Sus scrofa: one gene and its partners. The protein of the gene in region 1 binds, or shares a complex with, the protein of each later gene. Links are inferred from orthologs where the notes say so. Each region holds a gene or a part of one and is shown in the gene's direction. Other genes may lie near its edges. The genes, in order: ARPC1B, ARPC5L and ARPC5.

What was found.
Region 2: the proteins of ARPC1B (region 1) and ARPC5L are in contact, whole or in part, in a cryo-EM structure (PDB 6YW6), measured with the Homo sapiens proteins. The link is inferred for Sus scrofa from reciprocal best matches to the Homo sapiens genes ARPC1B and ARPC5L. Residues at the interface, in NP_005711.1 of Homo sapiens: Arg118, Lys138, Arg142, Phe164, Ser201, Gly203, Trp204, His222, Asp223, Ser224, Thr225, Leu240, Ala241, Ser242, Glu243, Thr244, Leu245, Pro246, Phe281; in NP_112240.1 of Homo sapiens: Asn21, Lys22, Arg102, Gly139, Leu140, Gly141, Ile144, Arg145, Thr148, Arg150, Lys151.
Region 3: ARPC1B (region 1) and ARPC5 share a complex: the UniProt entries of both Homo sapiens proteins name them as parts of the arp2/3 complex. The link is inferred for Sus scrofa from reciprocal best matches to the Homo sapiens genes ARPC1B and ARPC5.

What each region holds. Positions count from the first base shown.
Region 1 is NC_010445.4:6,339,498-6,342,858, forward strand, and holds the end of ARPC1B (actin-related protein 2/3 complex subunit 1B), read left to right. Parts: intron 1-360; coding exon 361-567; intron 568-655; coding exon 656-731; exon of another isoform or gene 732-1,609; coding exon 1,610-1,815; intron 1,816-2,435; coding exon 2,436-2,526; intron 2,527-2,817; coding exon 2,818-2,856; downstream 2,857-3,361. UniProt on the Homo sapiens protein: Component of the Arp2/3 complex, a multiprotein complex that mediates actin polymerization upon stimulation by nucleation-promoting factor (NPF).
Region 2 is NC_010443.5:265,644,442-265,648,604, forward strand, and holds the start of ARPC5L (actin-related protein 2/3 complex subunit 5-like protein), read left to right. Parts: upstream 1-1,358; coding exon 1,359-1,507; intron 1,508-4,163. UniProt on the Homo sapiens protein: May function as component of the Arp2/3 complex which is involved in regulation of actin polymerization and together with an activating nucleation-promoting factor (NPF) mediates the formation of branched actin networks.
Region 3 is NC_010451.4:124,845,104-124,849,332, reverse strand, and holds the start of ARPC5 (actin-related protein 2/3 complex subunit 5), read left to right. Parts: upstream 1-1,426; coding exon 1,427-1,569; intron 1,570-3,931; coding exon 3,932-4,004; intron 4,005-4,229. UniProt on the Homo sapiens protein: Component of the Arp2/3 complex, a multiprotein complex that mediates actin polymerization upon stimulation by nucleation-promoting factor (NPF).

The sequences.
Region 1 (3,361 bases):
TGGGATGGAGATGAGGGTTACGCTGGGAGAGGGCTGGGCAGGAGTGGACGCGGATTGGTCCAAGGTGCAGGGCAGGAGGGAGGAGGCAAGCTGGGGATTGGCTGTGGAGCATGGGGCCAGCATGAGGGGCACCAGCACATGTCCTGGGCTGCGTCAGCCGTGGCTGGTCAGTCCACAGGTGTGGGCTCGAGGGCCCTGGGAGTCCCTGGACCCAGACGTGTCCCGGTGATCGTGAAGGTGCAGGTCATGAAAAGCTGGCTCGGGCACCCACACACTTGGCCGGGCCGGTTTGGGAGAGGGAGTCCCTGGTGGGGCCCCTCCCAGACGCCCAGTCACCCTCTAATTTGCCTGTCCTGGCAGGATCTTCTCAGCCTACATCAAGGAGGTGGAGGAGCGGCCAGCACCCACCCCCTGGGGCTCCAAGATGCCCTTCGGGGAGCTGATGTTTGAGTCCAGCAGTAGCTGCGGCTGGGTGCATGGCGTCTGCTTTTCAGCCAGTGGTAGCCGCGTGGCCTGGGTCAGTCATGACAGCACCGTGTGCCTGGCTGATGCCGACAAGAAGATGGCGTGAGTACAGGTCACCTGAGCAGGTGGGGCGGCAACCAAGGTGCTGGACACGAGGGGCCGGGGGGACTCACATTTCTCTCTCACTCAGCGTGGCGACTCTGGCCTCTGAAACGCTACCACTGCTGGCTCTGACCTTCATCACGGAAAACAGTCTGGTGGCAGCGGTAAGGGGGGACGGGGCAGTCACCGGTGACCGCAGGTCTCCCAGAGAGCCTGGAGATGCCCAGGCAGCTCTCTGCTTGTCCCCGCTTCTGCTTTCCGTCCTTCTTGTCTCCCTCCCATCCATCCATCCATCCATCTTTATTGGTCAGAATAGGTTAAGAAAATCTCCGGTTGCAGTGGCTCCACACGGTAAATGTGTATTTCTCGCTCAGTTTGAATGTCCAGCGTGGGTGCTGGGTGGGGCCTCTGCTCACCGTAGATGGAGGCTTTGTCTCCGGGGTGAGGCGGGGGAAGTGGAGACCTGGGCCCTGGGTCCTAACCTGTCTGTGTACATCCTCTTGGCCCATGCAAGTGACAAGGCCACACCTCACTCAGGAATGGGTACCTGTAGCGGGAGGACAGTTCTACTGGATATTCTACTTGGCCCCCCATCTAGCAAGCCTCTTTTCAGGCCTCAGCAAACCTACCCTCCCAGAGGGAGATCAGGCCTGCTTTGCCTAGAGACACGTCCAGCTGTGGGGTCTCTCCCAGAGCAAATGTAACCGTCCCAGCAGGACGTCCCAGGGGAGTCCCAGACAAGCGCTCTCAGCTAGAAGCTGGCCTTACTGGTGGAGGGGCTGCTCCTAGATGCTCAGCCCCAACATCTGGTCCCTCTTACTCTACCTAGGGTGGGTGGCTTTGTTTCTGAGTTGTCGTCCGCTTCCTGGTGCTGCATCCAGGTTCTGAATCTGGCCTCTGGGACCCCCAGATTCATGGCTGGATTGCCCCCTACCCCCCGTCCCCCCACTGTGCCTCCCCTTGGGCCCATCTCCCTTGGTGGAAAACGGGGCGCCGCGCCTGCCCTCGGCCGGCGCTCCATGGGCACCCCGCCCCGCCACAGGGCCACGACTGCTTCCCGGTGCTGTTTACCTACGACGGCGCCGCGGGGACGCTGAGCTTCGGGGGGCGGCTGGACGTGCCCAAGCAAAGCTCGCAGCGCGGCCTGACGGCCCGCGAGCGCTTCCAGAACCTGGACAAGAAGGCGAGCTCGGAGGGCAGCGCGGCGGCGGGCGCGGGCCTGGACTCGCTGCATAAGAACAGCGTCAGGTGAGCGCGCCGGGCGGCTCCGCTCCCACCCGCCGCCTCGGAAGCGGCTCAGACTCTCGAGGCTGCGCAAAAAGAGCCTCAGCGGAGCGCGGAGCAGGCAGCCTCGCTGTGGGGCCTCGGAGGGCGGGGGTCTCCAGGCGGTAACCAGCGGGCCCCAGGGGAAGCGGGTCTCGTTCTAGAACCTGGAGGGGCGGAGCGGGGCGGGACTGAGGGCCCGGCGGCACCTCCTTGAGGAACTGGAGTGAAACGGGGCCGGAGCGCCCCCCCCACCCCCCGCCAGGTCCTTCCAAGCCAGCCACAGGGGTCCACCCCACGGCAGGTTACAGGGAGAAGTGTGGCTTCGTTTCCACTTGGTAGCACGCCTCTGTCACTCTAAGCCCCAGCCACGCGTGTCCTGAGCTCTTGGCACGCTCCTTGCTCACTACTGCGCATCCCTGAAGCGGGCGCAGGAGCCGGGTCCTGGGATCCTTCACAGCCCGCCTCCTGGGCTGTCCCTGCTGGGCACACGTCCCTCATTGGAGCAGGCTCCCCAGAAGTCCGGGAGCTCCTGGAGGGCAGGGTGGGTGGGAGTCTCGCATGGGCACAGGCGGGGATCTGTAAAGCTCTCCTCCCCTCTGCAGCCAGATCTCTGTGCTCAGTGGAGGGAAGGCCAAGTGCTCGCAGTTCTGCACGACGGGCATGGACGGTGGCATGAGCATCTGGGACGTGAAGGTGAGGCCACCCCGGGCCCTCTCCCCTCCCCCACCCGTTCTCCCTGGCAGCAGGCCGGGATGCCCCAGTCCCTCATTCCTGCAGAAGGGCACGTGATGGGAGGGGGGCCTGGGGGTGGGGGTGGAGCGGTAGCCCCTTGCCACCTGGGCCTTGGCACCTTTCTTTAGGGTTAGGATCCAAACCCAGGTCTGCCTGAATCCGAAGACCAGGTGCCCTGTCCCTGCTCAGGTCCCTCGGTAGGGTGTCTGCAGCACAGCTGAGAACCAGCCTGTCTGTTCTGTCTCCTTCCAGAGCCTGGAGTCAGCCTTGAAGGACCTCAAGATCAAATGACCCGTGAGGCGTCTGCGCCCTCATCCCAGCTGCTGGGGGAAGAGGGTCGGGAAGGCTAAGGATCGCTGTGCTGAATGTTTCTAGGGTACCAGTCCGGGTCCCCACAGATGCTGCTCCCTGGGGGTGGGGGTGGGAGAGGCTTTTCTTACCTATTGAAGGAACAGTTGCCTTTTTCTTAAGGAAATGCTTTCATTTATTGTAAAAAAAAAAAAAAAAGTCCCCCAAGCACTCTGCTGGTCACGAACTGCTTCAAACAAGGTGGTAATAAAAATGCAGCTGTAGAGACAACGTTCCTGTGTCTAGAAGGAGGGTTAGTTTGGGCAGAACTTTGGTAGCTTACTTTTGCTTGCCAGCAAAGCTGCTCGTTACACCCAAGATGGTTAAACCTCCCCAGTGTGGTTCCTCCCTGCGTGGAGTCCAGCCTGGGAGCTGCCAGGACCGGTTGTCTTTTCCCGCCACTCATTCTGCTGCTGGACTCCTAGACAGGCGGTTGCACATTCTAGGC
Region 2 (4,163 bases), on another chromosome or scaffold:
CTGAAAGGCAAGTTTTCCAGGACCCCTGGGACTTTTATTCAGCACCTATCCCACTGTAGGAGTCTTTTGCTGTTGTTTTGCATGCGGAAGTACCCAGGCCAGGGATAGAAGCCTTGCCACAGGAGTAAGACTGCTGGATCCTTAACCCATTGAGCTACCAGGGAACTCCTGTTGGAGTCTGTCTTTAACACCCTAGATAGCATCCTAGTCTGGCAAAATTTTTTGATCTGTAGAGACAGTTCATGAGAAGTATTTGAAGCAATGAAACGGGTCATTTCACTAACTACAGGTCTTCATTAAAAAAGAGTACTATCATATGAAAACGAAGACCCAATGTAGTCTAAGGCTAAGGCTCATTAACAGAACCCCTCAAGCAACAGCCCACGCACCACAGAGTAGCACTTGACTCTGCCGTATTTGTGCTCTGCTCAACCTTCCCCATCTCAGACTGGGGAGACCCTTACTGCTCCAGCCAGACAAGACTTCTCAGGCCCCAAGACCTCGCCCTCCGCAAGAAGGGTGGCCACTGGGCCATCTCCCTATCCCTGCCCACCTCCCCCTCGGTCAAGGTGACTGCTTCACGCGCAGGGCTCAGAATACTGAGGTCCAAATGCCTTCACTGTCTTGTCAGCACCCTGGACACACTTTAAACGTCTTTAAAATCTCCCAGTACATTAACAAGAGTCACTACAACAGTAAGGCAAAAGCAACCTCCTCTAAGCTCAGTAAGGTAGCGTCCGAAACTCCTAAAATCTGAGACCATACGTTCTCCTAACCCTACGTCACTCCCTGGGCACAAGAACTACTACTCATCCTTCAGGCCTCAGCTGGATAGGTTTCTTCTCCAAGAAACCTATCCAGCACTCGGCAGGCAGCGCTGGGTCTCTTCTCCCGGTGACCCATGCCCCCTCAATCTGGACAGTGATGACACCCAGAGTCCCCGACCATGCACGCCCTCGCCCCTTCCAGAGCCAGGGGCTCCTCCGGTGCAGGAACGAAGCCGAAGAAGAGTGCAGTTATGGCGCCGCCCAGGTGCTGAGCCTTCGCGGGATTGGGCGCCTGTTTCCCAGTCAGGAAGACTTAGGCTACACGAAGATAGGAGTCCCGGAGAGAGTCACAAGGCCGTCTTCCAGAACAGCTTCTCGGCGCTTCCCGCCACACCCCGCCCATCCCTCCTACCGGCACTTCCGGTTCCGGCGTGGCCCGGAAGTGGGCGGGCAGCTGCGGCTGCGCGCGGAGGAGGTGGAGGAGGTGCCGGGTCGCCGCTTCCCGCCCCCGAGCCGGAGCCGGTTCCGAGCGGAGTGGAGTGGAGGTCTGCCCCGGAGAGGAGCTGGCTGAGCGGGCGCCGAGCCCCCGCCATGGCCCGGAACACATTGTCCTCGCGCTTCCGTCGAGTGGACATCGATGAATTTGATGAGAACAAATTCGTGGACGAGCAGGAGGAGGCGGCGGCGGCGGCGGCCGAGCCAGGCCCGGACCCTAGCGAAGTGGACGGGCTCCTGCGGCAATATCCTTCCCCAGCGCGGCGGCCTGGGCTCCCCTTTGGCCTGGCCTTCCCACTCCCCTCATCCCCGGCTCCGGCCCTTCAGGCCGACCTCCCCAGTTCTCTCATCCGTGGTTCCCTCAGGTCAGTCTCTCAGCTCCCTACCGATCCAGCTCCCCTCGGACCAGGCATCCCCACTTCTCTCACCCGGCCTCTCTACTTCCCTTGTCCCCGGCCCGGACCCCTGGAGCCCCTGTATCCTGGTGGGCCGGCTTGCTCGGCGGCCCCAGCAGCATGCCGGACTGGCGTCTGGCTCGGCTGGCCCCTCCTCTGCGAGGCCTCTCCTCTTTCCTCCCCCTTGCCTCCTCATCCCTCTCAGGCTGGCCCTTCCTTGGGTGCCCTGTCACTCCATCTCTCCCAGGCAGGAAACAGGGCCATTCTCGGGCTTGATCGGCGGGAGGGGCCAAGGTGAGCTACCGCTGAGTAATTGAGAGGCCAGGGCGGCTCCCAGACACAGTCCTCTCGGGCTGGATTGCAGCACCACATGAAAATAGGTGGGTGGGTGGCTTCGGGGAAGAAAGGACCCACGTGGGAGCGAAGGCTGCAGCCTTAGCCTTAGTCCGGCCCTGAGGTCTGCGATTCCATCTCCCATCCCAGAATCGTTCTGAACGTTCCAGCTTGATGCCCCTCTTTCTCACCTCTTCGTACTTTCCTACAACCGTTGGGCTTTGGACCTCCATGGTCTTAGCCACTTTCAACAAGTGAGTCTTGGCTCCTTCCCCCCAATAGCCTTCTTGTTCAGAAAGCAGTGGAAAAAACTAGTAGTTTAGAGCTAAGAAAAACCAGGCAACGTAAAGTGAGATGTAAAAGTAGAGCCCCACGACTGGAAATGAGTCTTCTGTGGTCACAGAAAACAAGCATTTAGAAAACAAGATTAAAAATAGAGGTGGTTGTCACAGCCTGCTTGGTCGCTTAGCAGTTTGAGCACAGGAAACTGACTTATTCTCACAGGAAGGATTTTTCTTTATTCAAATAGTGTTACAGGAAGTGCCCACCCCTCCCCCGCACTTGCCAGGGCAAGGTTGGAGGCTCAGGCTGTACTGTATATAAATCAGGTTCTGGGTGTTTAATCATTTGACTCAGCTTGGCAAGTCGAACCCATTTGACTGCCTTTGGGAGGAGTCCTGCAGTGTTCCTCCAGTGGGCCTTGAAACAAAAACCTTCAGACATTTTTTGTTTGAACAAATGTGTTTTCAAAGATGGGGATTCAAACTTGGATTTCCTGCCCCATCAGGATCACCTTTCTTACCCCATTGGTGAAATGGAGTTATGAGAAGGTACCCATGAGGGAACCTTGATTCTGCAGTCTGGTGCAGAACCTGGCCTGTGGGCAGGCATTGCCGAAAGGGCTCCAGAGTCAGGCCTGTGGCTCAGACCATCCACAGAAGGGGAGAACAAGGCCTGTTTATCTGCTGTCTTCGTCCTGGTGCTGTAGGGACTTATCAAAGGTCATGTCTTGGTTATGCTTCTGATGTGATAGGTTCCTTGAGGCTGCTTGGAGGCAGGGGATGGTAGTTTCTTCACTAATGGCAGTGTCAGAAACCTGGTTACCACGGAGGATGTACTTCTTGGGATTGGGGAAAGGGAGGTTAGCAGATGAGAACGGAAATCCTGGCAAATGTAGGGCCGGGAAGGGAGGAGGAAGGAACTAATATTTGCTGAGTCCTTACCGTGTGCCAGGTATTGGATTTACATTAGATTAATAAACTATAGAACAGGTTTCTAGGAGTCTTAGGACAGAGCAAGGGGAGTAGGGATAGGCGTTGATGGGGGACGGGGGTGTGGGGAGTAAGCCTGTCCTAGTGCGTAGAGGGAGGCCTGTGGTGATGGGAGATCACACAGATGAAATGGAGCATGGGCTGCACATCCGCACACACCCAGCTCAGTCATGCTCTGGCTCTGTGACTTTGAGCAGATCTCATTCGCTCTGTGACCCTCGGCATCTACCTCTGTGAAAGGGAGGAGAACCAAGCTTGGCTTACAGGTTCAACAGCGGCATCACCGGACAACATGCCAGAAGGCTTCAGCACAGGGCTGGACACACAGCAAGTGTCCTGGATGTGCACCTAGGGTCTGTGCGTGGCGTGGCAGCCAGAGGTTGTAGAAAGAGCTTGGCTTTGGAATCAGGCATACTTGGGTTTGAAGGCCACCTGGACAGCTTAGCTTTGTGACCCTGGGCAGGTCATTTTCCTTCTTTGAGCCTCAGATTCATTGCCTTTAAAATCAGAATAATCACTCTTGTCACAAAGAACTGTTAGCAGGGATGAGATTACATGTGAAAACACCTGGGCACAGGCTCTGAGCCCTTGTAGGGATTTTTAAGCACTAGATCCTTTTCTTGCTTGCTGAGGTACCTTTTGGTCCCTTGGAGCGGGAATCTGGCAAGAGCAGTGGTTTTGAGTGATTTTGCACTCTCCTCCCCCTAAAGAAATTTGTCTATTTTTGGACATATTTTGATCGTTACAACTTGGGGGGTGCTACTGGGATCCAGTGCAGAGAGGCCAGGGATGCTGGTAAATTGTATGATGCACAGGGTAGACCCTACATCAGTCATCTGGTCTAAAATGTCAGCAGTGCTGTGGTTGAGAAACCCTGATCTACAGGTGACTAGGTGCTGAGT
Region 3 (4,229 bases), on another chromosome or scaffold:
GCAAGGAAGAGTCAGGACTCAAGCCAGGGTTCTCTGATTCTAAGCCCAGTACTCTTTTCAATTACAGCACAGGAAACGAACTATTGAGGTTTAACAGGGCAACAGCCAGCCCTCTGCTAGAGGTGGAATTAAACTAGACCTGACAAATGTCCAAAATAATTTTATTCTGCAAATACTTCTACTTCAGTGCTATACACATAGCCCAACAACCATTCCCTCAGTTTTAGTGCTTTTACCTGCTCAATAAGAGCTTTGCTCTCAGAAATGGGGATGTCAAATATAATAAAAAGCTGGCCTAGCGGGATCATATAAATCTTAAACGGCAAAGATAAATTTTAAAGGCTTGGTTTCCACTAATCCTTACACATTTTGTTTTCCCTCGGCGTCAAAAGAGTGTAACTCGCCCCTACTCTTTTCTAACATTCTTGCTCCAAACAACCAGTTATTTTAAGATGTCAATGACTGACCCTACCCCAAATTCCACAGGTTTATCCCAGTCTTGTCACGAGACCCCAGCCCCTGCCCAGACACCTCCCCCTCCTTCCCAAAGGTTATGATACCTAGTTCGGATTCTGCAGGTGCAGTCGAGATGCTGTTACACAGCACTGACAGATAAGATATGACCTTTCGACTCTGTCCTTGGGGACTCCCCGCTGGCCGCACAGCGTAGTTCCAATCGCGAAAAAGAGGCTCCCGGCTCTGGAACGAAGCCACAGTCGGCGTACGGTCTGAAGCGACGTCTCTGACAACTAGAACGATGCTGGGCGACTGGGCGTGCATCACTCCGCCTCATACTCCTGTCAACTGCAGGGGACTTGGTCCGGCAACCAGTCCATCCCACCTCACAGGCAAGTCCGTGCCAGCCGGACCTTACGCAGGACACCGATGGCAGGTCGTTGGCGGCGGCAGTGGCAGCACAAGCCAAGGCCACCCGCCCTCCGAGCCCATCGCCGCCAACCTAAGACCCCCTAGGCTGGACCGCAGAGAAGCGTTTCTATGGAAACCCCCCAGGGATCACGTGACGCACGTGGACGCCCAATCGCCTCTTACCTCTGCCCGCGGCGCCGCTTTCTGCCCTCCCCTGCCCCGCCCCCTCCCGCCCCCGCCTCCTTCACCCAGCCCCGCCCCTTTCCTGCAGCGAGTCCGCACCTGCGCACTGCGTCCAGCGCGCTCCCTCCCTCCTGCGCTCCCGGGCTGGGAGGGGGCCGTGGGGGTGGTGGAGGAGGGTTGGAGGAGAGCGCGTTCCTGAGAAGGAAGAGGCGCCGCCAGCGCGCAGGCCCAGAACCACCCGGGCCGGGGCTGCCGGCCGACGCCTCTGAGCGGAAGAGGGAAGTGAAGGCGGCAGTCTGCGGGTGCCAGCCGGGTTGGGCTTGCTAAGGTAGAGGCAGCACCGAGGGGAGGCCTTGGCCGCCGGTCCGGATCGAGGATGTCGAAGAACACGGTGTCGTCGGCCCGGTTCCGGAAGGTAGACGTGGATGAGTACGACGAGAACAAGTTCGTGGACGAGGAAGACGGGGGCGACGGGCAGGCCGGGCCCGACGAGGGCGAGGTGGACTCCTGCCTGCGGCAATATCCTTCTGTTCGCCGCCCCCCCACCCCACCTGGCCCTTCTTCCGGGACCCGCTGCGGGCAGGGGGTGAGGGGGGCGGGCCCCGGCCGGGAGCCGGGCGCGGAGCTGCTCCCAGTGCCCACGGCTCCACCCGGTCTCTTTGGGGGTCACGGGTTCTCAGAGGGCAGGGGACTCTCCCATTCCTACCGACTCGCCCCGAGACCCCAGGGTCCAGCCCTCGGGAACCTGCCCTTCCGGCGCGCCGTCCACTCCCCGGATTCCTCAGGTTGCGCCAGGAGTTCTCGCCTCCGGGAATTCCGCGGGGCCGGCCGCGCCCTCGCGGCGGTGCAGCTGGTCAGTCGGACTGCTGCGCGGCGCTTAAGTTGTCCTCCCAGAACGGTATTTACCCGGGTCTCATTAGCTCCCGAGTCTGATTGAGAGAACAGGCGTCTTTCTTCAGTGATTTTGTTTTCATCGTGGTAGTGGTTTTGTTTTGGCAGCATTAGGATAGATTCTTTCCTGCCAGCAGAGATGGGGCGGTTTGCAGGGTTGAGGCCCCCTCCGTCCTTCCAGTCCGGGGGCTCTTTTTTAGGAGACAGGGATTTGGCAAAATATAGATTGCACAGAATTTTTTACCTGGGGAAAAGGGAGTGAGTGCAAAACCACCGCAGCTCCCCAGAAAGAATCTGGGAGCTTTTTACCTGTTAAGCAAAGGACAGTAGAAAGAAGACGGGGAATGCATGTGGAGAATCCCTGGAAATATTTAAAATAAACCCCAATGAATAAAATAGAAGAAAATGAATCATTTGCGCAAAACAGAAGCATTTTGTAATCCTGGAATCGTTTCCCTTTTAGTTAAAATGTGTCTGTCAGTTCCTGGGTTTTGGTTTTGCATATTTGAATATTCATGACTTTGAGGGAGTATTGGCATCAGATCTTTTTTAGGAAAATGTAAATGTTACAATAACCAAAGCTGTAGTTTCAAAGATTCTCAATTACTGACCCACTCATTTCTCATTATCCTTGGGTGTATTCATAAGGTAAGGAAGGCTTTTTAGACTCTTTCCGCCTCAGTGTCCTATTAAATTCAACGTGGAAATATATGAGCGAAAATATTTGGTCACAACCACAGCTGGTCTTAGAGGCACCTAAAGTACAGCATTAAACATTTGTCAACATACAGATGTTTCTTTGATTTCTCTGACTTTCACAATCAGCTGTTGCTGTTTTGCATTATTTAAATACTTCAGTGTTTGGGGTCTTATAAGTGAACCAGTCTGCAGAAGGCGTGCTTCTCTAGAAGTCCATTAAGCCTTGAAAATAACAGTCTACCAACAACCATAGTTTTTTTGGTCAGACCTTTTCCTTCAGAATATAAATGATGTCTGTCTAAAAACATTCTTTGTGATGAAAAAATGATGTTTCATGAGACTAACATTTTAGATAACGATGATGACTCTTAAATGGTACTGCTGTATCCACAGAGTGGATCTGCTTTTTAAATCAGTTCATCTTAAAATGTAAAGATGCTGTCTTACTGTCTCTTCTACTCTTGTTACAAGAAGAGACAAGCCCTATCAGGCACCACAGATGGAGGAACAAGAGAACTCTGTGGTTTTCCTTTTAGGGAAATAACTGTACATTCTGACAGTCTGATTGGCCTTCTGTTTCTCATACTTGCTAACTCACTGGTGCTTTCAAGTGAGACTAAATGTAATAGGTGTGGCCTAAGGTAGTTTGAATGACCTTTATGAACTGTGAGAGCAAACATCCAAAAGAGAAAAATTAAGCTGACACCTAAGGGTCATTGAATTGCTATATCTTCTTATGATGCCTCTTGTCATCAGTATTGGGAGATTGCTAATGTATATCATTCAGATTGCTAGAGTGATCTGCCAGCACGTTCTGTTAGCATTTCATTATATAGAATATAATTCTAGTTAAAGTTTGGTCTTTATTTTTCCAGTTAGAGTCACATAAAAGGACATATTTTGGCTGAGGATAGGATGTTTCATTTGGGGGCCAAATAATTCTGGTATATATTTTAGAATTTTAAAAATGATCACTACATAATGGTTTGCACATGTGTCTTCCTGGCAAATGGAAGATTATCCAGGTGTTCAATTAATAATTAGCGCCAAGGATGAAACAGTTTTTGTTTGATTTTAAAAAATGTGTTGTTCTCCCTTTTTCTTCCTCAGTATTTTATCTTTGATTGACATCCTTGCAACCAACATGCTGAATTTTCCAGTATTAAGCATAGCGACTTTAGTACTTTTCTTTTGATGCATAATGTCAAATCTGAAGAACCATTGGTTCCTGGGAGTCATAGTGCTTTCCTGAGGGCTGCCCTTTGCTGCTATATCCCTTAACCTCCTTCACAGGAAACATGACAGCTGCCCTACAGGCAGCTCTGAAAAACCCCCCTATCAATACCAAGAGTCAGGCGGTGAAGGTGAGTTGTCTTCTCTGCTGTTATCTTAGCATTCTTACCAAAACCCTCTAAAGTATCACACAATCAACAAATATTTTAACTACTCTCTCTGACAGAGAAGAGCTTACAATGTAGTTGGATTGGTAGAAAATTAATATATAGAAAAACAGCCTAACATTGAGTTGTGATAATGCTGCATGGTGTACACACTAAGTTTAAATGACCAACCAGGAGATCTTTGTTTTT